7 linked regions of the Cricetulus griseus genome follow. The protein of the gene in region 4 purifies or fractionates together with the protein of the main gene of each other region. This does not show direct contact. Links are inferred from orthologs where the notes say so. Each region holds a gene or a part of one and is shown on either strand. Other genes may lie near its edges. The genes, in order: Thoc1, Thoc6, Thoc2, Ncbp3, Ddx39b, Thoc5 and Thoc7.

Region 1 (3,500 bases), on a different chromosome or scaffold from region 4:
ATACTCCAAACTAAGGTTTAGACAGTGCCTGTTTTGTAGTTCTTGAAGCACTAACCAACTGTGCAACAGCTGTTATAAAACTGTTTATTGTTTACCAAAACCACTGGACCTCTTATCAAATGCCGCTTGGTAACAAAATCTTATCACAGTTTAATAAAAAAGAAAGAAAAGAAAGCAAGCTAACTATTTGTCTCGGAGTCATTAGTTAGGCTTTCAGCAAGGTCACTTAATCCAGACTTGTTTAGTGCGCTGATCAGGTTATCTGTTGTTGCATGAGCTCCTTCTTGATCTTGCCAGGCAACAAGGAGCTGCTTGGCCCTCATCTTCACGTCTTCACTGTCACACTCAATCTGCCTAATTTCAGAGTCTTTAATTTCTAAGTACGGAGCCAAAATCTTCCATTGCTCACCAAGTTTGTTGGCAAATAACTCTATCTGTTCCCCTGTTACAGGTTTATCTCGCCGAACATCAGGGCCTAGAAGACAAGAGGATATAAATTATCTGAAAGACCTGCAAAGCTTAAAGAACAACAACAAAAAACTGGGTTACTAGTCACATTAAGCTTTACTTTAAAACTTAATTCTACATAGGTTACATACCTTCTTAGGAAAAAAAAAAATCACAATTCAGGCAATTATTTTTTATTTTTTGGTTTTTCGAGACAGGGTTTTTCTCTGTGTAGCTTTGGAGCCTATCCTGGCACTCGCTCTGAAGACCAGGCTGGCCTGGAACTCACAGAGATCCGCCTGCCTCTGCCTTCCGAGTACTGGGATTAAAGGCGTGCACCACCAACGCCCAGCTCAAAGCTATATTAATTAGGAAGATTTTCCCATAGAGATGTTCCTTCTAGCCCCAATTAAATTAGCAGAGTTCAAGGCTCTGCCTTAAAACACCCATCTTTTTTATCTTTAAAATTATTTCCAAATTTCCCTATATAAAATGTATTTTAAGTGACTAATGGCTTTAATCTCACTGTAAACTGAGATAAAATGGTAGAAGTTGAGAAGTAGACCAAATTATACAATGTACCTCTCAACAAAGAACCCTAATCTTTTTCAGTTTTGTGAAATAGCCAAAAAATTCAATTTCAATTCAAAAATTCAATTCTTACTTTCATTTTCCTTCAGTAAAGCATCATTATCTTCCTCATCTTCATCTTCACCTGTTTTTATTTCTTCAGAAGGAGGCTATAGTAAATGAGAAACAATGGTGTTTAAAAAAACACTAGTTTCTGAAGATAACAGGAAATAGTTTAGATAGGTAATTAATGGACCTCAGACCCTCTCAACCTGTAGGTCCTGTCATTTTGGGCAGAAGGAAGACAGAGAAGCATGAACAAGCAGGTTGGTAAACACCTAGGCTTTAGTCAGTATTGTCTAAGGGGCAATAGAGATTAACCATGTCTATGGTTACCGTACTATAAGAAAACACTGCCAGGTACCCTACTGCTACTCCTAGACCCTGCTCTTGACAAAATATAGTAAAATACATTTGGTAAGAGCAAAAACTGATCCAATTTACTGCAGGCAGTAGCTTTTTCCAACATGTTGATAAATTGGGTGTTGCACAGAAAATTATACCACTCTTGGTTCACATTTTCTCCCTAAGTGAATGTTCAACAACAACCTCTGCCTCAAGTTGTGTGTGTCCTCCCCCGCCCCCACTACTACTGTTGTGTGATACACTAAAATTTGAGTTCTGCTCAAATACTGATAGCAGTTTTAAAGCAGATAATGTCTACTAAAGGAAATGGGAAAAATGAAGTATGTCACTTACTGGTAGTTCCTTGGCTAGCTTTATTACCATGTTCTCCAGGTACTCTGGCAGACTCTTAAATTGCTGGTTGGTTGGCTGGAAGAAGTGAGGGCTTCTTCGTGCTAAGAGCCTGAGAGCTCTCCACCCATAATTTGAATTGTTCACAGCTCTGTAAGAGGAGTTGTTAGCCTTGGATTTATAATTATCCACTTCCATAGTTGTTTCCATGTCACATGACATTTTGTACCATCCTTTAGTTTGAAAGTTTATATATTTTGCTTATTTTAGCAAGTCAGTGGTCTATGTCTCAACCCCTGGCTACATAGAAACTATTCATCCAGTTATACAGAAGAAAAGGAAAGATAGGAAAAATGATATTTGGTGAGTTGGTTGGTATCTGTATCTGCATTGCTACCTACAGATATGTGAGTTTAGAGTATTTCATAAATTCGAGTTTATCATGTTAATGTAACTAATACAAGTTGGAGATCTCTAACCTAAAACCTTAAGTGTTTAACTTTTCTTAAAATGCTTACCTGCTAGGGTCTAAAATGTTCCAAATATGGGGGGGAAAATCTGAAAACACAGCCGCAAGTATTTTCAATAAGGGACCTGTATTTAGAGTTGTGTTTATGTAACAGCTAATCTTTAGTTCACTTAATTTCAATGTCAATGATTAAAAATGGCTCAAAATGTCAAAAGAGCAAATATCCAGTACCCACAGTAGTGACACACTGATGTCAAGAAAAGAATCAGAAGGTGAGGAAAAAGAACCTATGAGAAATCCTAAGGACTCCCGCCCCCAATAAACGGATTCTATCTTGGGCTTTGTTATGTTCTTTGTATTTAGCACAGATCTGCAATCTGGTTTATTTGGTGGCCTCTTATTAACTCTGATATACACTCTTCATTTTAAGCACGAGATGAGACTTGTGCGTATTTTACTAATAGGATCTTACTCTATAAGCCACACTAACCTCAAACTTAATCCTCCTGCTTTAGCCTCCAGAGTGCTGGGATTATAAGTATGTGCTCCCATGTCCACTCTTTCTGTGTGTGTGCTACTACCTTGCCTGCCCTTTGTGTCTGTCTGTCTGTATGTATGTATTTATTATTAGGCAAGGTCTTACCATGTAGACTTGTGGCCTCAAACTCAGAATCCACGTGCCTCTGTGTCTGAGTGCTGGGATGAAAGGTGTGTATAACCATGCCCAACATAATTTCTTGTATACTTTAGACTTTTATTATGTATATGGGTGTTTTGCCTGCATGATTATCTGTGTATGCCAAAGGCGGCCAGAAGATGTCATTTCAGACTCTGGAAAGAACAGCCAGCACCCTTAATCTCTGATACATTTTTCTTCCCTGTATATATTCAAAAGATCACTCTCTGGTGCATGGAGAATAGAACACACTGGTTAAGAGGTTGGAGCATGTAAAAACGTATCATGGGGTCAAAACTAGTCATTTATATCATGTGTCAGCAACATGCTGTATATGGATCAAAACGAACCATTTAATCTTCAGAATAACTCTGTGAAATGAGTGGCTATTATTTAGCAAATGAGAAAAGGCACAAGGATGGGAACTTACACATTCTGACGAGAGCCCCTGCCTTTAAATCACAACTCCAAAACACCTACCTAAAAATACTGTCACATGAAACTCTTTAGATAAAAGATGGTGAGTCTTAAAAGTTACCCCAGAAATCTAGGGTGGAGGGGACAGCAAAGCAAAAGGCAAAC
Region 2 (4,106 bases), about 44 Mb from region 4:
GTAATTGTTGCCAGCTGCCAGAAACTTCCCGCAGGGCGAGACACTCTGGGAAAAGATGGTCATGTGCAGGCGCTGCAGGGCCTGCGCTACCTCAGCCTGTGGGAAGAGGGTGGATGAGGAGATTCTGGGAGGTCTGGGTCCTCCTCCTGCAGACTCCTGTTTGTCTACCCTGCCCAGACTTCAGCCCTGCTCAGCCACAGCCACAGGCATCTCCCCATACAAGAGTGGCTCCAGGAAGAGAGTGAGAAAAGGAGAACAGGGGCACAGTACCTAACACTTAGAACAAGCACCAAGCCTCTCCTGTCAGCTTAGTAGACAGATGGCACTCCCAGGAAACGCTGGTCATAATTAGGTAACTAATGAACAGTAAGAGCTTTGTAGCCAGGTTTAGTAGGTGCACAACTGTAATTCCAGCACTTAACAGTTGGAAGCAGGAAGATCAGAGGAAATTCAAGATTATCCTCAGCTACATAGTGAATTCAAGGGTAGCCTGGGCTACACGAGACAGTCTCAAATACGCACACATACACACATCTGAGGATGTAACTGAACTGATAGTGTTTGATTAGCATGCACCAGTCCCCAGCACTGCACACTGCATTAAACAAGCACACACTTGTGGCCTGTGATTTCAGCACTCAGGAGTTGCAGGCAGGAGGACATTCCCCCACTCCAAGGCAAACTCCAGACCAGCTTGAAATATGTTGACTCTGTCTCAAAAAACTAAGTGAATAAAAATAATAAATCTATTTTTAAAATAGGGGGGTGTGCCTGGAAAGATGGCTCAGCAGGTAAGTGTGCACTACTCTTGCAGAGAATCCTACAGACCCACATGCCAGATCACAACCATCTGTAACTCCAGTTCCAGGAGAGCTGACGTCACTTCCCCCAGTCCCTCCAGACAGGTTCTCACAAGAAGCCCTCTTTGTACCAGAACTCTCTATGTAGATCAGGCTGGCATCATAGAGATCTGCCTACCTCTGCCTTGCAAGTGCTGACGTTAAAGGCACTGAGTCATTAGGTCTTGTTTTGTTTTTTTCAATTTGTGTGTGTGTGTGCTGTGTATACCAGTGCCCATGAAGACTAAAAGAGCTTGTTGGGTCTCCTGAAACTGGATTACAGGCATCTGTAAACCCACTCCTATATGGATGCTGGAAACTGAACTTGGTACCTCCAGAAGAGTAGCAAGCACTTTTAACCACTGGGTCATCTCTCCAGCCCCCTGTGATGCCTCTTCTGGCCTCCGAGGATATGATAAACATACATAGCACACATACAACTGCTAGGAAAACATTTATAGACATAAAACAATGAATAAATCTTACAAGAAAATAAATGAGCCTATCGTGGAGGCACACCTTTAATCCCAACACTTGAGGAAGAGGCAGGCAGATCTCTATGAGGTCCAGGCCAGCCTGCTGTACTTCCTGAAAACTTGTTTAAAAAAAAAAAAAAGGTAACTACTCAATGGGTAGACCATGTTCTTTTGTTTGTTTGTTTTTTGTTTTTGTGGGGGGACAAGGTTTCTCTGTGTAATCCCTGGCTATCCACAAACTATCTCCGTAGACCAAGCTGGCCTCAAACTCATAGAGATCCACCTGCCTCTGCCTTCCGAGTGCTGGGATTAAAGGCATGTTCCACCACCAACAAGCCTATGCTCTCTTTTTTTTTTTTTTTTTTTTTTTAAAGATTCTATTTTTAGCCGGCCAGCGGTGTCGCAAGCCTTTGGTCCCAGCACTCGGGAGGCAGAGGCAAGGCAGATCTCTGTGAGTTCAAGACCAGCCTGGTCTATAAGAGCTAGTTCCAGGACAACCTCCAAAGCCACAGAGAAACCCTGTCTGGAAAAAAAAAATAAAGATTCTATTTTTATTGCTTTTAATTATGTGTATATGTGTGTGAGGGGAGTGTGTGCAAGTGAGTGCAGGTGTCCACACAGGCAAAAGGATGCAGATCCCCTGGAGCTGGAGTTACAGGCAATTACAAGATTTGAAATTTGAGTGCTGGGAACCAAACTTGGGTCCTCTTCCATCTTTCCAACCGCTAAAACCTATTCTAACCCAAAGTTCTGTGTTTGCGCACCAGCACTGTATATATTGGGCATTATGGCACACCCAATAGCCCATAACATTCAGAGGGAGGCAGAAGTTCAAGGTCATTCTCCATTATATAACAAAGTTCAAAGAAAGCTGGAGATATATGACACTGTCTCACAAACAACAAGCAGTTCTTGGGCTGGGGTATAATTAAATGACAGAGCATGTTCTTACTGCGTCTAAGGCCCAGGGTTTTAAAAAAGGCTCATGTACAATGATTAAACTTTTTTTTTTTTAAGTTGGGGTCTCACTATGTATCCCTGGATGACCTGGAATTCACTATGCAGCAGGCTAGTTTCTAACTCACAGAGATATGTCTGCCTCTGCCTTCCCAGTGCTGGCATTACAGGTGTGTGGAACTACGTCCAACGGCTAGTTTTTTTTAAAGTGGCTTTATTATCCTTCACAGTAAAATGTACTGACATTTAGTCCCTATGTCACTATTAGATCCCAAGGACCGGGGATCACTATTCTGGGGGGGTCAGAGTCAGAGTCCGAGTATTTCTTGGCCACCAGGTCATGGCAAGACTACAAACCCCAGAAGGCACTGTGCGCACACTCGACTCACCTGACCCAGAGGCACCGGCGACGGTGCGACGTGATCCATCTTCAGAACTACAAGTCCCAGAGGGCTCTAGGCGCGACACAACCTCTCGACTCCCTACGTGCGTGAGAGTGGTTCTTCTCGTTGCGCCCCAGGACCTGGCACTGTCGGCCGTTCAACAACTAAGGCGGCAGGTCGGTGCTGTCTCGAACCACTGAAACCTAGGGGAACTCTGCGAAGCACCCTTACGCTAAGTAGCGTCCAGGACTGCCCAGCTACACCGAATCCCCTCCCCCACCCCGCCGACCTGTCCCGCCTTCTAACCTCGCGGTGCTCGCCTTCCGCGCCTGCGTCGAACGTCTCCAGTGAGCACGCCGGTAGCCCCGCCCCTCGCGTTGTACCACGCCCTCAAAGGCTCCGCCTCTGCCGCCTGGATCCCACCCCTCTATCTGCAGGACCCCGGACCGTAATGATCCTACAACAGCCCCTGGAGCGAGGCCCTCCAAATCGTGATCCACGGGCCACCACTGGGGTGACTCGCGGCCTGGACGCTAGGTGCGTAAGCGGCCCCTGCGTGGGCCGGACTAACGGAGGGCAAGAGCTTTGGCTGGGGGCCCAGGGCCGGTCAGTAGGGTGATCCTGGGAAGAGAGGCAAGGTGGTACAGGAAACCGTGGTGTTTGAGCTTGTGTTGGAACTGGGAAGCCACGGTCAGGATTTCCGAGGTAGCCTGGTGGATGATGGCCTGAGAGAGTAAAGTGGCTTAGGCCACACAGACAAGACTGATTCTGGAATCCTGGCTTATTCTGCAAGCTCAGGTAAAGAGAGAGGGTGGGCTACACCTGGCTCTATTTCCCAGCTCCCCTCTCCTAGGAGCTGTGCCCATGAGCACGGAAACCCCTGGAGGAGCATTAAGTTTGGGGGCAGATGGGTCTCCTTAGATGTCACCTTTGGTCCTCATCAGTTTGCCTCCACCCTCTGTTCCTCTCTGGTCTTTCCCCCAGGGAACCCTTGCACAAGCAGTTTCTGTCTGAGGAGAACATGGCCACCCACTTCTCCCGACTCAGCCTACATAATGACCACCCCTACTGCAGTCCCCCTGTGACTTTTCCCCAAGCCCTGCCACCACTCAGGTAGGCACCTCCCCTCGCAGGGCCTTCTAGAGAATCACATTCGGTCCTCAGAGCCCCTCCTCATGATCTGCCTCATCATGCTATTTTTAGCTTCTAGCCAACTTCTGTGCTGTTTTCCATCTTTGGCTCCAGGGGATCTGGACCTGGTAGGAGGTGGCTCTGCCAGGCCAGCCTCTGCCCCATACTTTCACTGTCTCTCTTCTTCTTTCAGGAGCCCTTGCCCAGAGCTGCTTCTCTGGCGCTATCCCGGGAGCCTGATCCCTGAGGCCCTCAGACTGCTGAGGCTGGGGGATACTCCCAGTCCCTACTACCCTGCATCCCCAGCTGGGGATATCATG
Region 3 (3,500 bases), on a different chromosome or scaffold from region 4:
TTAATCCCAGCACCCAGGAGGCAGAGGCAGGCGGATCTCAGTGAGTTCGAGGTCAGCCTGGTCTCCAGAGCGAGTGCCAGGATAGGCTCCAAAGCTATACAGAGAAACCCTGTCTCAAAAAACCAAAAAAAAAACAAAAAAACAAAAAAACAAAAAAACAAAAAAAAAGAAACCCCCCCCAAAAAACAAGATCATGCTATTCCACCTGGGCGTGGTTACACATGTCTTAAATCCCAACAGTCAGGAGGGGGAGGCAGAGGCAGGTGGATCTTTGTGAGTTCGAGGCTAGCCTGCTCGATAAGATGAGTTCCAGGGTAGCCAGAACTATTATTACACAGATAAACCCTGTTTCAAAAAAAAAGGATCATGGTTGTCCACATTTGAAGTTTATAATAAATATTTAGCTGTCTTTGTCTAAGATTTGTTTTTAAAGGTTGCAACAAGAACTTACTCGGTCATAGCAAAGAAGTGTGGAAAAATTTGGAGTTTTCTGTTGATGTACCAATTCAACAAAACGAGCACAGTAAACAGCATCTATTGCTGAAAAAATGCATCGAGGAAATATACACAGCTGTAGAAATTTTGTGATGGTCTCATTTTTGGTTGACTCTAAAAATAAAAGAGGAACATATTAAGCAGTAATCGTTTTCCCCAAGTGCCTCAAGGATACCAAACACAACATTTTAACTGTAGTGTACAGAATGCTATAAAACCACAAACTATGGGATAAAGATTCATATCACTTTTACTCTATCAATACTTTTCTATCTACAATTTCTAATAAATATGATTCTATATAGAAAATTTGAATACTAAGTTGCCAATATTATCATAAGCTAATTTTATTTCAATAGCCAACTAAACCATCAGTCACTTTGGTGAATACATGAAGTTGATTCCGCTGTAATGAATAACTAAAGAAGGGAACAGTGAACTGAGCTGAATATCAATCAATGTAATCACTTGAACACCTCCAAAGTTAGAAATGTTTGCTTTTGCAATTTAGCAGCAGCAGGAATGTACAATCCCAACAACTTACTTGCTAAAAGCCAGTTGTCTTTTTCCAATTTCAGTCTCTGAAGAACTCTCTGAACATGTTCCATCTGTTTCTTTTCTTCTTCTAGAAGCTTGTCCTGAAGGGCTGTGCAACGCTCCTTCTCTTTTTTCTTTTTATTTGGGGGCTACAAAGTAAAGTCACATACTTTTTAACTATCTACATTGCCTCCCTTCATGTAATTAAGATTTTTTTTAAAGAGAAAAATGATTACACTTTATAATTATCTCAGCATGACTATAAAGTAGGTATTCCTGAATACTTTTCCTTCCATTCAACACATTCAATCAGTGTCACCTAGTCTTCAGACACCTTCTGAACAGGTCACCTAGGTAACAGTGGTGGTATCATTCTGAGGCAAAAATGAAGTCATCTTTCACTTTCCTTCACTCAAATATTCCACTTGTTTACAAGTCATATGTATTGACACTGTCTCTAACATAGCCTACATTCTCAGTACCACATAGCCAATTACCCCAAAAGATACACAGCCTTAGACTAGATCCTCCGCTTATCAAAATCACTCTTCAGATTGCTCTTATAATCTTTCTAAAGTACCATTTTTACATGTTATTCCCCAGCTGAAGTATCTAAACAAGCCCTCAATTGTATCATATTTACTATTCTGCCTGACTTTCAGTCCCTGCCTAATTTGTTACTAACCTCATTGTTCAAGTACATGATCAAGGCCATTCAGTAGAATAAAGGAGATCTCCTTAAACCCCATACTACTCCCTGTGTTTGCTGGATTATTTATAATCCTTTGGGAACTCCTACTGCTCTTGAAATAAGCGTCAAACTAATCACCTTAGGTTGCTATGACAGTGTTCAGTAGAAAAGACATGAATGTTTTTATCATACTTTCCATCCATTTGCTAAGATCCTGCCAAATCCATTGACACGTTGCCATTAAATCCACTTAAAATAATATACAGCAACAAAACTGTAGAATCAAGAATCTTGAACTAAAATAATTACAAAGCAGGGACAATACTACATAAAAGTCACAATTATTATACTTGTGTTGCTACAATAAAACTTACCATTTCCTGATTGTCATCAATCGCTTTCATCTGGACTTTAAGTTTATTAACTTCTCTTTCATAGCTGGTATGTGGAACTGCAAGGTCATACATTGTCAGTGACCAAAAGGTAGCATAGAACTGAGGGCTGATATCATCCCAGACTTTGGAAACGTGTAAGGAGACCACTGCTTCGTGGACAGGAGCCATCACCATCTCACATGACGTAATGTATTTATGGACTTTATGTTGCTGTTTACTTCCCTTTTCCGATTTTTTAAGTTCATCATATTTTGACTGGAGATAAAAAGTTAAAACATATCATATATACTTATACAAAACTGTAATGATAATTCTAGTTTCTTACCAAGAGCACTTATTCTAAGACAAATTATCTCTGCAATCCGTTCCAATCCTTAGTTTCCATGTTTTTAACTAGAAGGTTTTTTTTTTTCAATAAAATTTGACTCCAATAGGGCATGTATCAAGAAGCTGGAATGCCACTAAGAAAGGTTATAAAAAGTTACTGAGACTACTACCTCAGTGACCAAATGTCCAGTTTTGCCAGAGACTTAGGGGATTCCCAGAATGCAAGACTTCAATGCTGAAACTGACAACATTCCAGACAGAGCGACCAGCTACTTTAGTCTACTGCCAAGCCAAATAAAATTTTCCATAAGTACCTGTGGTAAATTAAATTGAAATCATGTAAGAACTGATGCTACAGTTTTGTTTTGTTTTGTTTTTGTCCTGACTGGCGTGTCCTAATTAAGGAGAGAATCAGAGGAAGGCTATATTCTTAATGACATGAGGTAAAGATGAATCTATTAGTGCAGTGATATTGACATAATTTTTAGTTCATAGAATATATGTCAAATGCAGCTAAGAAAGTTAATATACTACCTCATGCCTTTCAGCCATTTTATGATGAAAGACCTCTTGCCAAGAAAATTTTACTTGGTTTAGGCATCATGCTTAAGGTGAATCAAAAATTCCCACAACCAGTTGTTTCTTTATAGTAGAAAAATACTGAAATCATTCAGTTCATGATAAACATATGACCCCAAACCAGATGATCATCTATAAAGGTTCGGCTTCAGTTCTGCACTGACAGGAATAATCTCAGCTGGACTAAAAGCATGTTAAGACCATTACATTCATTGGCATGCAAAGCAGAATCCAGGAATCTTGTAATTTTTCTAGAAGTAGGATTATTTATTTCTTTGTATTCCCATGCTAGAGAATATGCTATTAACAACAGAACTGATAAAGCTACAAAAACATTAGCTGTAGGAAAGTATACAAGGTATAATATCAGAGACCAAGACCAGTACTAGGGTAAAAAGGATTTTAAATTTAGAAAATAGATTTTGCTGAAGGTAACTAATATGAATTTAGATGAGCAGAACGACATCTGCTAACGT
Region 4 (3,994 bases):
CTGAAGCCTTCTCCTGACCTCCTCAGGAACTAGGTCTGCATGTGGTGCACTTACATATATGCAGGCAAATCACTCATATACATAAATCTAAAAATAGCATTAATTATAAAAAAAGATGGAAGGTGAGAACCAACACCTGTGGCTGTTCTCTAACTTCCACATGTGTGCTATATCATGGACACACTCTTACACACAGACACACAAACATCATATGTAATAATAAATACTAAAATAAGCATTTTTCTTGAAAGGGGTTAAGTACAGTCATCTAAGTATAGTGATAATCTTTTCATGGATATACACAAATGCTGCTTTGATGTCTTCAGGATATTCAAGGGCATCCTTGGGTAGATAGATGAATATAGATATTTGATAATATACTATATATGCAACAAAATAAAAAAGGAGGCAAAGAATATTTACTATCCTCTAAGTCCTAAGGACCAAGTATTAATTTTGCCTGCTTATCAAATTGAATAAATAACCCCAGTCTGTCTTACCTTGGAGGTGACATCAATCCCAGTGATGAAGCTGCCAGCTTTGTTCTCATATCTTCTGCTTGTGTCCTAACAGAAGAGGAAAGATGGGAAATTCTGGGAGAAAAATCCACAGTTAAAGGCAGCCTGATATCTGGCTCTTTTTGAAGTCATTCTTTTCAGCAGCCCTTCTCCACCCTAACACCTGTGTTATTAGGAAGTCCATCTCTGAAACTCTGCATTAGCAATCAACAATTCTAACAGGAAGTCTTTTCCAGACCCCAGACAGGAACTGTTCAAAATATTGAGTAATTCTGTCAACTGAAAGTATCTACAGAAAGGAAACTCTAAAGGCATTTATGGAAAATGTCAAAAATGAGATAGTCAAAGCAAAGGACAATCAGCCAGCCTACAGGCCACAACCCCAGAGAACCTGGGTAACAAAGAGGACCCTAAGAGAGATATGCATGGGTCCACCTAGGAAGGAGAAAAAGACAAGCTCTCCTGAGTAAATTGGGAGCTTGGAGAGCAGGTGCAAGGGTGGAAGGGGAGAGGTGGGGAGGGAAGGGGAGTGGGGAAAAATGTATAGCTTAATTAAAAAAAAAAAAAATGAGATAGTCACTTAGTTGTTCCCCAACCCAGACTGGACAAATTCCCCATGAAAGGCCACTAGATGGAGCAAATACCTCCACAAAAATGCACGAAGTCCTAGATCTGAGAAAAATACATCCCAATACAACGAAAAAAGGAGGGGAAACGGATAGAGTGAGGGCTGAAGTCTCAGCTCTGCATTCAATACCCTGGACATCCGAGCCTTGCTTTCTTCTATGCTGTCTATCTGTCTGACTTCTGCTCTCCCCTTTGAGCTTAATGTACCCCAACAAAACAATCTTGTTTCCATCTCAGAGACACTGTGCTTGCTGCCATTCCTGCTAGAAAATGCTCCCTTCCAACTGACACGGTTGCCCCTTCTTGTCATGTAGGGTTATGGTTAAATCTATCTCAGGGGACTTCTCTACACACCCTGACAGACACTGACTGCTTCACACCCTTCCCGGCCTCTGTACTTTCTATTAAAGGGGTGTGTTTTCTTCATAGTACTTAACACAAAAGGAAACTATTTGTTTAATTTGTGTCCCCTACTAGGGAAAACTCCAAGAGGGAGTTTGATTTTAATCAAACACCTAGGATTATGTCTAGCACGTAGTGGGGGGGTGCGATACTTAAACTGAATGAATGGGTAACACCTAAGTCACAAATACAGTAAAATCTAATGACATAATGTGAAAAATACTAAAGTTGTCATTGTGTTGTTACAAAAGTCATTGCCATTTGTATAACCCTTTACTCATAATGTCAAATGTAAAAGCAAGACTTGCTATCGTGGAATTAAGTGGGGGTGGGGGCATGTTGTGTGTGAAAATCGAGCTATCCAGGCCCCAGACTAGCTTTTAAAACAGGGCATACGACTACCAAACCACAAGCAAAACAGTCCTCCTCATACCCACTGTGGTAAAATGTAGATGAAATGTCACCGGGCGTCAGAAGCCGGGACCTGCGAGTAGGTGCAGTGAAGGTGCGCGGGGACATGGGGACCCTCACCCACAACACCACCACACGAGTGTCTGCTGCTTGACAGGTCTGGCCCTCTCAAGCGAAGAGCGACTGTCATGTTTAACAGACAACTAACTCCGCTGGGGCAGGACCCAGCAGGAGACCTGGATGCCAGCGCCACCTAACACTTCCTTTCAGAGCTGTTCCAGGTTCTGTTCCCGCCCGCGGCTCCCTTTTATCTCCAGCCGAACACAGCTCATCGCTCCGGGGCACCGGCCGACACCGCGGGGCAGCGACAGGGGTGTCCCCCAACTCTCTGGCAGCCCTCCGCCTCCTCCAGCGCTCTCTGCACCCATTTCCGGGCGCCCGGGTGTCCCTTCTCTCGCTCCGGCTCTCTCCGGGTCAAGTGCGGCCCCCGCCCTTCGGCGCTCGCGCCCCTCTCCGGGTTCTCGGACTTGCGCCAGCGCCGCGGTCCGCCACCTCCCCGCCTCCAAGGGACACTCGCTCGGCGACCTCCTCCTCAACCCCCGCCCCTCGCCCGTACCGGGAGCAGTTCCTTCAGCGAGCGCCGCACCGGCACGATTTCCAGCTCGCCTTCCTCCACTTCCATGGGCTCCGGCTCGCCACGCTCCAAGCCGGAGTCCACCTCGGGCGACGGAAGCCCCAAAGCCGGGGGCCCAGCCGGGGCCTCTGCCTTCACAGACACTCGCAGGCCGCGAACGGCCGCCATAGTTGCCAGCCGGCTGCACCACAGAAAGCCCGCCCCTCACAACCCGCCTCCTAGAGCGCCGCGGCCGCCAACCACAGAGGAGAGCCGCCGGCAGCCAGAGCGTCTCCCGTTTCTACCAAAAAGCTGTCCTTATCTCTGGCGCCCCCGTTGATTGCCCGGGAACCTGGGGCAGGTTTGGGTTGGGATTTCGCGAGGAGTGGGCAGGACCAAACCGAGACGGAGGCGGGGCGTCGTCTGAGGTTCCAAAATACCTGCATTTTGAGGAGTATACTCTTCTTTTTTTTCTTTTTTTGGTTTTTCGAGACAGTTTCTCTGTGTAGCTTTGGAGCCTGTCCTGGCACTTGCGCTGGAGACCAGGGTGGTCTCGAACTCACAGAAATCTACCTGCCTCTGCCTCCTGAGTGCTGGGATTAAAGGCGTGCACCACCAAGGACCGGAGGGGACTATACTCTTAAGAACTACTGAGTGACCATGCGCCCAATACTTCCAAGACTTGAACTCTTACAACTTTACGAATAAGATTTTATTACCTTCATTCCACGTAGGAGAAAACTGGGGCATAGTTTTCCTCAGGTATAGGCTATTTAAATGATTACCTGGATCTGAGCCTCGACAATCGGGCTTCAGAGCCCAGAATGAACTACATAGAATCTATCATCTCTTGGCAATCTGAACGTTTAGAAACCTTGCCTCTGACAAGTCTTCCAGTAACTGAGCCATTTTATGTAGTCAAAAATTTAAGCTGGGGCCCAGCATAGGGTTATATGCATTAATCCCGGCACTCAGGAGTCAGGGGCAGGTGCACCTCTATGATTTCCAGGCCATGCTAGTCTAGGTAGTGAGTTCCAGGCCATCCAGGGCTCCAAGGTGAGACATGGTAGTACACCATTGTATTCTCAACACTTGGGAGATAGAAGCAGGATGATTAGGAATTCAATGTTACCCTCCAATACATAGCTAGCTTGAGGCCAGCCTAAACTACAGAAGACCCTATCTTAAAGGGGGAGAGAGCTCCAAGGTAGTAGTGATCTACCCCAAAGGACAGAGACAGACTTTAGACCCCGTTTTCTCACGTCTGGGGGCTCTACCGATCAAAGACTTCACAAACGTTTCTAGGAGGAGTCTGGCTGGGAAAGAGGAAGGGCTTCTTGACTTGTCATGAGTGCTGATTTTGTCTCCTCCTGTTTCACCTTTAGCTAAGTCTGGGTCCTCTCTAGACCTCTCTCCTAGTCTA
Region 5 (3,500 bases), on a different chromosome or scaffold from region 4:
TAAGACAAAAGAGGAGAAATTTAAATTTCTCTCCCTCCCTCCCTTTCTCTCCCCACAGCTGTGTCCTAGGTTCAGAGGATACTCTTGGGAGTAGGAACACTCCCTGTTGCTGGAGAAAAGAGACGGATAAAGACCCCACACAAGCGTCCCTCACCAGAGCATGGAAACTCCAGGAGGGCAGCCAGCAACCAAGGGCCATTCAGCACCAGAGGCCTCTACCCAGAGGTTTACATGAGGCACTAACAAGGAAAGAGGGAGCAGGATTCAACAAGATGCTTCAGAGGGCAAAGGTGCTGTCACTAAAACTGACAACCTGAGTTCACGCCGGGAAACCCACAGGGTGGAGGACAGACACCCAATAGTGTCCTCTGATCTCTACATGCTGTGGTATGTACACACACGCACGTACGCAGCAGGCAGCATGGTGGGGGTGCACTCACTGTAGGAGGAGATGTCGATCTCATCGGGGAGCTCACTGATGTTGACCTCAAAGCGGTCCTGCACGTCATTGAGGATCTTAGCATCATTCTCATCTGACACAAATGTGATGGCCAAGCCCTTGGTGCCAAACCGGCCTGCTCTGGCCACCTGGGAGGAGACAAAGGGAAGATCACAAGTTCACAGGGGAGACAGAGATACAAGGGAAGGGGACAGCGTGTGCATGAGCGCAGGCACACAGAGGAAGAGGGGGAGGGCGGGCAGCTTACCCGGTGCAGGTAGGTGTCTGAGTCCTCTGGCATGTCATAGTTGAAGGCGATGTTCACACGCTCAATGTCCATGCCTCGACCAAACAGGTTGGTGGCCACAAGAATCCTCCGCTGGAAATCCTTGAACTGCTGATACCGAGAGAGCCTTTGTGAGGAAGGAGAGGAGAAGCTTGAGATTCCCTTCTCACCACACCCCTTCCTCCCCAGAGCACAAATCCCTTGTTTCTCACTCACCTCTCCTCCTGGGGCATGCCGCGGTGGATAGCAATGGCGGGGAAGTTCTGCTCCACCAGAAGCTGGGCCAGGGCGATGCACCGCTGCACGGACTTCACAAAGATCACCACCTGCGGAGCACGGGAGTGATGAACATACAAGTTTCCACAGTCATCTCAACTCTTAATGGTTTTTAAAGTTTGTGTGTGTGGGTGATTTGCACGCATGTAAGTGTAGGCACATTCATGCCTGACGCCTATGCAGAGCCAAACGAGGACACTGGACCCTCCTCACATACCAACTGCAGTCACATGATTAGGAACTGACATGCTATGGAGAATTGGGGAGCCCTGAAGAACAAGAGTGCTCTTAACCTCTGAGTCACTGTTTTGTTTTTTGAGACAGGGTTTCTCTGTGTAAACCTGGCTGTCCAGGAACTTGATCTGTACATGAGCTGGCCTTGAACTCACAAAGTTCTGACTGCTTCTGCCTCCAGAGTGCTGGGATTAAAGGCTTGAGCCATCCTCACAGGGCTCTGAGCCACTCCTTCAGCCCAGCCCCAGTGGTATCACTACTGATAAATCTATATATATGTATGTTTGTGTGAATGTATGCAGGTGTATACAGGTGTCCTTCAAGGCCAGAAGGGTGTGCTGTATTTGTATCTGTATCTTTATCTGCTGGGGCCAATTACAGGCATCGGTGGGAGGGAGGGGGTGTGGATCCTCTGAAGAGCAGGGCGTTTGAGGTCCAGTTGTCTTCAAACACATTATATAAACGATGCTGACCCCACACTTGATCTCAGAGATCCACCTGGCTCTGACTACACAGAGTCAGCTTGGGATTTAAGACTCCCATACTAGCACACCTGGTGAATTTTTGTTTGGTTGGTTCTTTGGTTTCTCTGTGTAGCCCTGACGGTCCTAGAGCTCACTCTGTAGACCAGATTGGCCTTGAACTCAAGAGGCTTGCCTGCCTCTGCCTCCAAGAGCTGAGATTAAAGGTGGGTAGCACCACTAACCCGCCCTGGCAGAATTTCTAACGAGTTTCTCAGGCCCTTTTTCTGTCTCAAATGTCTCTTCACAAATGTCCTCTTCCTCTCTTGAACTTAAGGCGTGTGCCTAGGCCAAGATTTCTCAACAGCCTGACGTGTGAGCTGCCACAGACACAAGACCTCAAACTGGCACACACACGGGTGAGGCGCCCTCAGGAAGATGGTAGGATGTGAACTACAGTCTAGAAAACCAGATGAGCCTCTGGAAACACTAAGAGCCCCACAGGGCTCTGCAGCCAGCTGAGCACAGGCTGACACTGCTCCTCCTGGGTGACTGTAAAAGACAACAGCAGAGCCACCACGTCAGTACCCAGCTCAATGCGTTCCTCCACTCACTCAAGTCATCACGGACTCTACCTCAGCTGTCTCTCACACCTTCACACCCTTGGCTCCTCAATCACAGGCTACTTCTCCACAGGCTTCTGCCACGGCTGGGGATGCCCAGTGCTCAAGACCACACAGACCCTCAATACTGACCTGGTTGAACTCGAGGACATCGAGAAGGTCAAAGAGCTTCCGGTTCTTCTCGTTGTCCTTCAGTTTCACGTAGTATTGCTGCAACCCGTGCAGCGTCAACTTGGTCTCATCATCCACGAAGATCTCCATAGGCTGAGGGAAGGAGGGGTGGGGGCAGGAGGAGGGCAGAGTGGGGGGTTAAACCTGGGGGGGTGGAGGGTGATGGTCTCCAATACACCCCATGGACTGATGGGGAGGAGAGAGAAGACTGAAAAGCCCTCCCCATCACAAGAACGCTCTGTACTGAGGTCCCTTTCCAGTTAGGTATGGCAGTATCTGCAGCAGCTGAATTTTAAGCTCAACTGAGAATGGTCAGAGGAGAAAGGAACTCTGCACAGAGTGGTGAAGCTCCCAGCTGCAAGGTGCCAGTGTCAGAGCTGATGGGGGAACGTTAGCAATGGAGATGGTACTCCAGGGGAGAGTTAGCTATGGAGATGGTACTCCAGGGGAGAGTTAGCTATGGAGATGGTACTCCAGGGGAGAGTTAGCTATGGAGATGGTACTCCAGGGGAGAGTGAGCAATGGAGATGGTACTCCAGGGGACAGCATAGTCAGAACACACAGCAGAGGCAGCAGTGAACCGGCCTGGGCATCGACACCACAACAGGCCAGGGCTGACTGCCCCACTCAACTGTCCTCTCTGCACTTCAGCAAATGTCCAAGACCAGAAGGCTGCAATGGACACAGCCAAAAACGCCATTCAAAACCTGGGCCTTAGTGGCATGCTGTGATCCCAGCTCTCGGGTGGTTGAGGTAGAAGTTATTAAAGAGAAGCACACATTGCTCAAGCTGTGAGACACCTTGTACTCAACACACTACTCAGCTTTAGAAGGGATTTTTCTAAATTCAGAGTCAAACCGTCTATACTTGGGAGGTGAGGGATGAACACACTGTGCTGGCCAACAGAAGTACAGGCTCTTTCCCACACCCACAACAGAACCTGCACCTTCTGAGCTCTAACTCCTGACCGACCCTCAGCACCTTCCATTTCTCTGGAGCCCTCACCCCTG
Region 6 (2,459 bases), on a different chromosome or scaffold from region 4:
GAAGGGAGATCTAACAGTCATCTCTAGAGTTTTTAAATAAATAAAAAAAAAAAGAATAAATAAACCACATTAGGGAACAAACAGGAAAGAAAACCTCAACACCCAAGAAAATGGAAAACTACCCTGAGGTACTGCAAGCCCAGACACTCTACACAACAAGTTGCCAAGGCCTGCTAACACACTCTGAGACCCTAACTTGGAGCAGGAATCATCTAGAAACGTCACAAAAATTATCTGAGTCACCCTGAACCCCATAGAAGGTCTTTCTCCTCCTCTTCAGGCCTAGGACCAAGGGCTTGGTGCTAGGCAGAATGGACTACTCTGTCTTTAGGGTGCTCACCTGCTGGCCTTCTAGAAGCTCTGTTTTGTTTTGTTTTTTTTCTATGCTGCCTGGATGCCCTCTGTCTTTTCTCACTGAGGAAAGAACACTCAAAGATGCCAGCAAGCTCACTAGGACTGTGGGGTGTACCACCCTAAGTGTTCACTTGGGTATCAAAAGTAAACAGGCCCTGCTGTTTCCACAGAAAACACTCAAGTTTAGCCAAAGCTTTTTAGCATGGTCTGGTGCAATTTCCTTAGTTGGATGGCCTTCTCCAGGGGGTGACCAAGAACAGGTGAGCCAGCTGCAGGTAAGTCTCAGGAAGGAGAAAACACGTTCTTCTTGGCAATATGGCAGCACAATTTTCTGCCATGAATGGAAACAGGCGCCCTCTGTTTCAGGCCCTTCCAATGAGACCTAGTCTTTGGAGGACTCTGATCTTTGTCCATGTCCTCATGAGGAGTCACAAAAGCCCAGCCCTCTACTCACCTAAAAAGCCGCAGGCACATCTTCTCCTGGGGAAATTCCTTGGGGCCCTCTACACTGTCATCATGGCTCTCCGTCTCCAGGTAGACATCCAGCAGCACACACAGCCTCTGCAGCTGGTTGGTCAAGAGTTGGTGGCTGGGCCGAGGGCCACACAGTTCCTTATAGCACACGTTGACCTCACTCTCCATAGCCTGTATGGGTGGGAAGCCAGCACATCAGCATTTCCTTCCTAAGTATGGATGGGCTTTTACCACACTGGCCAGGCTTTTACCTCATTGCTGTACCTGAGAACACCACAAGCCTTACACTTGGCCCCTGAGTGCACATACACACACACATACACACACACAGAGTCGTGCCACAGCTTTGTCCAGAGACCCCTGATTATAAGGATTTCCCCTAAATGCCTACAGCAAGGGTTACAGGTTTGTAGAGGATAAATCTTAAGTCCCAAGTCAGAAGGCACTAGGCTTTAAAAACTTGATCTATGGCCATAGGCTACCAAATCCTGTCAAGAGGCAATGCCTTAAACAACAGTCTCAGCACACTCACTGTCATTGAATCTGAGTGTTTCTGTAATGTTTCCAGAGTTTATTTACCATCTCACAGAAGCCCCAGGTGACAAGATTTTAAGAAAACTTTTTGTTTTCTTTGGAGGCAGGGTTTCACTGTGTAGTCTTGGATGGCCTGGAACTTACTATGCAGACCAGGCTGGCTTTGAATTCACAGAGATCTGTCTGCTTCTGCCTCCCCAATGCTGGGATTAAAGGTGTGCAGTACCATGCCTTGCTGTAGGGAACAGAGGAAACCCTGAGTGTATGAAATCCAGAATGAGTATGTATAAAGTCCTGAGTGAATATGTGTTGTCATCATGAGCTGGGACCCTAACCTCACATCCACGCAGGTATGGCAAAGCCTTCCCCTCCCCCACATAAGGCTAAAAGGAATGGGAAAGCCTTCCCTTCTGATCCAAATGGGAATGTTGATCAACCATAATTTTATACCCCCTGCATATTTACGGCCTGGAGCCTGCTCCTACTGGGATTAGCTAACCTTGCCTTCTTGGTCCATCTGTGTACCATGACCCCGCTTCCATGTTCAACTCTATGTAATAAACATGCTGGGCTTGGGGGTGGACTAAGATTTCTCCAGCTGAGAGACCAGAGCACTGGATTCCAGCTTTCTGAGCTTTCTGTGTGCCTGTCTTTTCTCCCTCATCTCCCTTAGTGAGTTCTAAGTCCCTGGAGTGCAAGGATGCTGCACCCAGTTAACAATGCTATTTGATGAGTGGGAAAAGCTGTGGGCCTCAGGGAAATTAAGGGGTGAGCACATTCTATAAATCCTGTAAGCTCCTATTCTGGGACTGAAGCACATGGCCTCAGCAGCTGCAGGCGTGGCCACTGCCCACCTTTCTAGGGGTTCTCCCTGTTCCTCCTGACACACATGTGGGTCTTACCCGAATATTGTCATCATTGCTGTTGGTTTTCTCCCCTTTCCAGTTTAGACAGAGTCGGAAAATGGGTGGGATGGAGGAGTAGCCCGGGTTCAATACCACAGCAGCCTGAAGTTTAGCTGGGAACAGAGGAAAGGGAGAAAATCAGTGATCACCCAGCTTCCCACGATGGTCTCCACACCATACCAAAGCCAACAC
Region 7 (4,291 bases), on a different chromosome or scaffold from region 4:
AGAAATGCTTTTTAAAAGCATCCTCTCACTACCTGACAGCTTTCCATTAAACAAGAAATCTCCCTACCAAAGTGTTGGGGCACCTATGCAGCCCTAGCAGGCCAAAAACTCCATAATTAGACCCAGACTGTTGTCAACTCACAGACCTGCCAGCCCAGATGGGATTAAAGGCATGACTACCACTGCCCTGCTGAATTTAATATTACTATTATCCTTCCTCTTACTTCAAGGAAATGAACAGGTTCAAAGTCCAAGTTATGAAAGCCTTTAGCCAATACTCTTTCAAAGAGTCAGGGACTGCAGCTTCAGTATTTAGAAGAGGTCAGTTATGCCTGAAAATCTTCATTCAAGATTAATTTCTGTCTCTGTGACAAAAGTCCGTAATGTACTTGACATATAATCCTGCCAAGCAGCAAAAACCACTTCACTAACATACATTGAATGGTTCCAAGTTTTCTGCTAAAGAACTGAGGGAATTCTGGGCAGATGCATAGACCCCACTTCAGAAAAGTAGTCTGAACCACCAAACTGACCCCCCACACAATTGCTTTATGCAGGATCTGAGGATGCAAGGGACTTGGGAATCACGAAAACTGGAAAACAACAAAAACCTGGGTTCCAAAGTCGAGCACGCTTCTGGGTGTAAAGCTGTCCTGCTGGATGTCAAATCAACCTTACCAGGGGTTGTCTCTCACCACTTACATGGTTCCATTCAGGAGACACTCATCATAGTGATTTTTCTGGAAAGATGACAATATAATCTGCAGAGTGCTCCAGCAATATGTACTCTACACCCCAAGCAACGTTTTTCAATGAGCAGCGCCACCTCCCCCAACACCTTCTACTTTCAACTTCCCTTTAAGAAGCATTTTTTTTTTTTTTTTTTTTTGAAAAGCAGAGATAATACGAAAACGAAGGCACCCCATCTGGATTCTGGCACCGAGGGAGAACTGGGTGAGGGGCAAGGACGGCAGGGACTAAGCTCCTGGTTCTGAGCAAAGTACTCCCAAAGGTCGCCAAGTTTCTATCCCCCACTTTGCCAGCACCTGCCAGAGCTCAGGAAGGGAGGATGGCTTTCCGCGTCCGCCTCAAGGACCCGGGTTCGAGACCCGCCGGGGCGCGCGTGGGCGCCAACTTGGCGACAGTCGCCGCGGCCCCATGCCAACGAGCTAGTGGAACCCGGCGGCCGGGGGGCGGCGGTCACCCGGAGCGGCAGGCGCGGAGCCCCCCGAGCGCGCGCAGCCCGGAGCTCACCTGGCGGCTGGCCGCGGCCTCCAGGGCGGCCTGTGGCGCGGGCCGGGCGGGGACGACGGGGTGCGCGGGCCGAGCCGCCGCCGGCCGCCCGCCTCGCCCTTCACCCGCCGGCCGCTCCGCGCCCCGGGAGAGCAGCGAGCGCGGGCTGCGCGGGTCGCGCGGCGGCGGCGGCGGCGGCGCGGCGCAACTCAGGAGTCGGAGAGGCGGCCGCGGGCGCCGCCGCCTCCTCCTCCATGACTGTTTACCCGGCTGCATTGTGGGAGTTTGACCTCCGTCGCCAACCGCCGCCTCAGCTCGCGCGCCGCCGCCGCCGCCGCCGCCGCCGCCGCCGCCGCCGCGCGCGCACGCCATGGGAGCCGTGACTGACGGTGAGGCCGCCGCGGGGTGCGGGGACGCGGGGCAGCGCCGAGATCCGGGCCGTCCGGGGTGGGGGCTCCCGGGGCGGCCGGGAGCGACGGAGGGCCGGGCGCCGAGCCCGGGGAGCCCGAGTGATGCAGTGCGCCGAGGGGGCCGCCTGGGGGGCTTCCCAGGCCGGGCTGGGTCGGGCCCACAGGCCGTGCGGCGGGCCCCCGGGGGCCCTGGAGTTCGAAGTGAGGTGGATTGCGGGCACCGAGCTGGGGACAGCCTCCAAAAGGAATAGGGGTGTCCGGAAGGCCGGTCGGGAAGTGTATCTGGGCGACTTACAAGGTAAAGCGCCCCGTGGGATGAAGCCGGCGGCTTAGACCGCGACCACTGAAGGAGGGCATGTTGGGGAGGGTGGTTTGTAGGCCTGGATGAATTGAGGGTGATGGATTGTGGACAGCTGTGGTCTGTGGACTGAGAGCAGAAATAAGGGGGCATTTCAGGGAGGTATGGACAGATGCGGCGGGAAGCTGGAACAAGAACTTAACATCGGTACCTGCTTTTGGTAGAAAGGTTTCTGTGGCTTGGAGCTATTCTTGAGAGGGTGACCAGTAGCTATGGGTACCAGTGGACTGACATCCAGAGAATGGGAAGAACAACTCAAGACCCAAATTTGAGGACTGTTGGAGGAAAAGTCTAGGTAGGGATAAATAGAGGAATTTTAATCTTATTTTATTCCAGTTTCGTTTATTCAGTAGGTATTTTCCGTACTTCCAGGCAATGCTTTACTTATATTTTGCAACCCAGAACAGGCAAAGAAGTTTGCTCTTGTATGTTTGCAGTTTGGATTGACTGTAAACGTTAAATAATTGGGGTAGGGTAGGGGTGAAGGTATGGTGTGTGTGTGTGTGTGTGTGTGTGTGTGTGTGTGTGTGTGTGTGTCTGTGTGTGTGTGTGTGTGTGTGTGTCTGTGTCTGTGTCTGTGTGTGTGTGTCTGCCTGCTGCCCTCCCTGCCTCACCTGTTCCCCAGGCAGGCCACCCTTCCCATGTGGCAGTTAGGGGACAATTTGCTGAAGTCACTTCTTTCCTTGTGGGTCCTGGGGATTGAACTGAGGTTGTTGTTGATCTGTCTCTACTGGTGATTAGAAAACTTGAAAAGACTTCCTTCTCACCCCCATTCCTTTGAAGGATGAATGGATATATTAGGACTGGAATTACAAATGACCAGTCATTTATACAAGTCCCAAAATGCTGAAAGAAATTAAATATGTCATGTAGTAATTAGCTAGAACTTAGAAAAAGTTAAGCACCATGAATTTTTAAGGTCAGGGGAAGCCACTGGAAATTTTGTTTGTTTGATTTTTAATTTGGTTTAGTTTGGGATTTGGATTCTTTTGAAATGAGGTCTTCCTAAATGTATCCTAGGCTGCCCTGTAACTTACTATGTAGATCAGGCTGTCCTGGAACTCACAGAGATCCCCACCAGCTTCTGATTCTGCCTCCTAAGTGCTGGGACCAAAGGTACTCCATGTCATATCAAGACAAGTTTTAAACATTAGTGCAATGTTTAGTGCAACATTAGTGATCAGATCTGCTTATATTTAATTACTTGAAGTGTTTTTTTTTTTTTTTTTTCAATGCTGAGGACAGAACCCATGCTCCTATTCATAAGAAAAGTGTTACATCCTCATCCTGATCTACGTGATTTAAAGTGCACATACCCATTCTACTGTGTGGAGAATATTAAGGAAATTGGAAGGGAGGTGCTGAAATCACTTTCCCCTTCAATAACATAGTACTTGTAGCATGTGTGGTGCAATGTTCTAATTATCCCCATTTTATACATAAAACTGATAACCTAAGAAACTTGTCCAGAGTTGTAGTGGTAGTAAGTTCCAGAACCTGGGCTTAAAAACCAAGCCACATCCTGTGTGTGTGTTTTGTCTGCACGTGTGCTTGTGTACCACATGTGTCTGGTGCCTGTGGAGTCCAGAAGAGTGCTGGGAATTGAACCCATACCTCTGTAAGAACAGCCAGTGCTGTTAACTGCTGAGGCATCTCTCTGACTGGCTAATATGCACTGAGCTCAACTCCTGCTGCAGTAGTGCTAGTGAAAGGTAATTGGGCCAGCACTCCAACTAAGGGGATTCAGTAAGTGAACTGGTCAGATGTGCTGGGATGTCAAAAGATGATCTTATGTTTCTTATTTGTGTGGATCTGTGCCTTGCTCCAGAGGAGTGATGAATTTTTCAGGTGAGAGAAGGGAAGGAATGGTGAGTTACAAACTTACCAACTGCAGCCCCCTAATCCTTAGAAGCCATAGGAATCCCCAGTTGACAACTACCAGCTTCTGACCTTGTGGAGGTTACCTAGCTTCTTTGAGGCTCAGTTTTGCTCTCTGTTAATTAAGCTACTAATAAAATCTACCCTGGAGTGCTGTTTTGGAAGTAAAGGACATTGTACTGAATCACACACATGCTAATGTTCAGTGAATCTTTCTAAATACAGAGTACCCTTCCCTGTCTTGTTATGAGGGAAGGAAATTGAACTGAAGTAAGAACTAAGTAATCAACAAATGTGAGATGCTAGCTAGGTACAGAAGGAAATTAGAGGGAGAGGGTGCTGGAAGGGGAGCATACATGCCTCTGTGTTAGTTGGATTAAACTAAGACCCTTTTGTATGCTATGCAAGCACT

Evidence for each region.
Region 1: the proteins of Ncbp3 (region 4) and Thoc1 purify together in Homo sapiens (co-immunoprecipitation; 4 studies listed by BioGRID and IntAct, with this or other methods). This does not show direct contact. The link is inferred for Cricetulus griseus from reciprocal best matches to the Homo sapiens genes NCBP3 and THOC1.
Region 2: the proteins of Ncbp3 (region 4) and Thoc6 purify together in Homo sapiens (co-immunoprecipitation; 3 studies listed by BioGRID and IntAct, with this or other methods). This does not show direct contact. The link is inferred for Cricetulus griseus from reciprocal best matches to the Homo sapiens genes NCBP3 and THOC6.
Region 3: the proteins of Ncbp3 (region 4) and Thoc2 purify together in Homo sapiens (co-immunoprecipitation; 3 studies listed by BioGRID and IntAct, with this or other methods). This does not show direct contact. The link is inferred for Cricetulus griseus from reciprocal best matches to the Homo sapiens genes NCBP3 and THOC2.
Region 5: the proteins of Ncbp3 (region 4) and Ddx39b purify together in Homo sapiens (co-immunoprecipitation; 4 studies listed by BioGRID and IntAct, with this or other methods). This does not show direct contact. The link is inferred for Cricetulus griseus from reciprocal best matches to the Homo sapiens genes NCBP3 and DDX39B.
Region 6: the proteins of Ncbp3 (region 4) and Thoc5 purify together in Homo sapiens (co-immunoprecipitation; 3 studies listed by BioGRID and IntAct, with this or other methods). This does not show direct contact. The link is inferred for Cricetulus griseus from reciprocal best matches to the Homo sapiens genes NCBP3 and THOC5.
Region 7: the proteins of Ncbp3 (region 4) and Thoc7 purify together in Homo sapiens (co-immunoprecipitation; 3 studies listed by BioGRID and IntAct, with this or other methods). This does not show direct contact. The link is inferred for Cricetulus griseus from reciprocal best matches to the Homo sapiens genes NCBP3 and THOC7.

What each region holds. Positions count from the first base shown.
Region 1 is NC_048595.1:236,160,915-236,164,414, forward strand, and holds the end of Thoc1 (THO complex subunit 1), read right to left. Parts: intron 1,925-3,500; coding exon 1,777-1,924; intron 1,188-1,776; coding exon 1,112-1,187; intron 476-1,111; coding exon 180-475; 3' UTR 69-179; downstream 1-68. UniProt on the Homo sapiens protein: Component of the THO subcomplex of the TREX complex which is thought to couple mRNA transcription, processing and nuclear export, and which specifically associates with spliced mRNA and not with unspliced pre-mRNA.
Region 2 is NC_048600.1:43,199,643-43,203,748, forward strand, and holds the start of Thoc6 (THO complex subunit 6 homolog), read right to left. Parts: upstream 2,801-4,106; 5' UTR 2,701-2,800; coding exon 2,662-2,700; intron 97-2,661; coding exon 1-96. Other genes in the region: Hcfc1r1 (host cell factor C1 regulator 1), read left to right, coding at 3,107-3,192, 3,640-3,768, 3,980-4,106. UniProt on the Homo sapiens protein: Component of the THO subcomplex of the TREX complex which is thought to couple mRNA transcription, processing and nuclear export, and which specifically associates with spliced mRNA and not with unspliced pre-mRNA.
Region 3 is NC_048604.1:26,148,732-26,152,231, reverse strand, and holds part of Thoc2 (THO complex subunit 2), read right to left. Parts: intron 2,374-3,500; coding exon 2,098-2,373; intron 1,182-2,097; coding exon 1,040-1,181; intron 610-1,039; coding exon 452-609; intron 1-451. UniProt on the Homo sapiens protein: Component of the THO subcomplex of the TREX complex which is thought to couple mRNA transcription, processing and nuclear export, and which specifically associates with spliced mRNA and not with unspliced pre-mRNA.
Region 4 is NC_048600.1:86,818,150-86,822,143, reverse strand, and holds the start of Ncbp3 (nuclear cap-binding protein subunit 3), read right to left. Parts: upstream 2,801-3,994; 5' UTR 2,761-2,800; coding exon 2,575-2,760; intron 567-2,574; coding exon 501-566; intron 1-500. UniProt on the Homo sapiens protein: Associates with NCBP1/CBP80 to form an alternative cap-binding complex (CBC) which plays a key role in mRNA export. NCBP3 serves as adapter protein linking the capped RNAs (m7GpppG-capped RNA) to NCBP1/CBP80.
Region 5 is NW_023276806.1:231,776,165-231,779,664, reverse strand, and holds part of Ddx39b (spliceosome RNA helicase DDX39B), read right to left. Parts: intron 2,584-3,500; coding exon 2,452-2,583; intron 1,052-2,451; coding exon 942-1,051; intron 853-941; coding exon 708-852; intron 589-707; coding exon 441-588; intron 1-440. UniProt on the Homo sapiens protein: Involved in nuclear export of spliced and unspliced mRNA. Component of the TREX complex which is thought to couple mRNA transcription, processing and nuclear export, and specifically associates with spliced mRNA and not with unspliced pre-mRNA.
Region 6 is NW_023276807.1:99,973,201-99,975,659, forward strand, and holds part of Thoc5 (THO complex subunit 5 homolog), read right to left. Parts: intron 2,381-2,459; coding exon 2,265-2,380; intron 1,000-2,264; coding exon 809-999; intron 1-808. UniProt on the Homo sapiens protein: Component of the THO subcomplex of the TREX complex which is thought to couple mRNA transcription, processing and nuclear export, and which specifically associates with spliced mRNA and not with unspliced pre-mRNA.
Region 7 is NW_023276807.1:171,880,540-171,884,830, reverse strand, and holds the start of Thoc7 (THO complex subunit 7 homolog), read left to right. Parts: upstream 1-1,491; 5' UTR 1,492-1,603; coding exon 1,604-1,622; intron 1,623-1,772; exon of another isoform or gene 1,773-1,941; intron 1,942-4,291. UniProt on the Homo sapiens protein: Component of the THO subcomplex of the TREX complex which is thought to couple mRNA transcription, processing and nuclear export, and which specifically associates with spliced mRNA and not with unspliced pre-mRNA.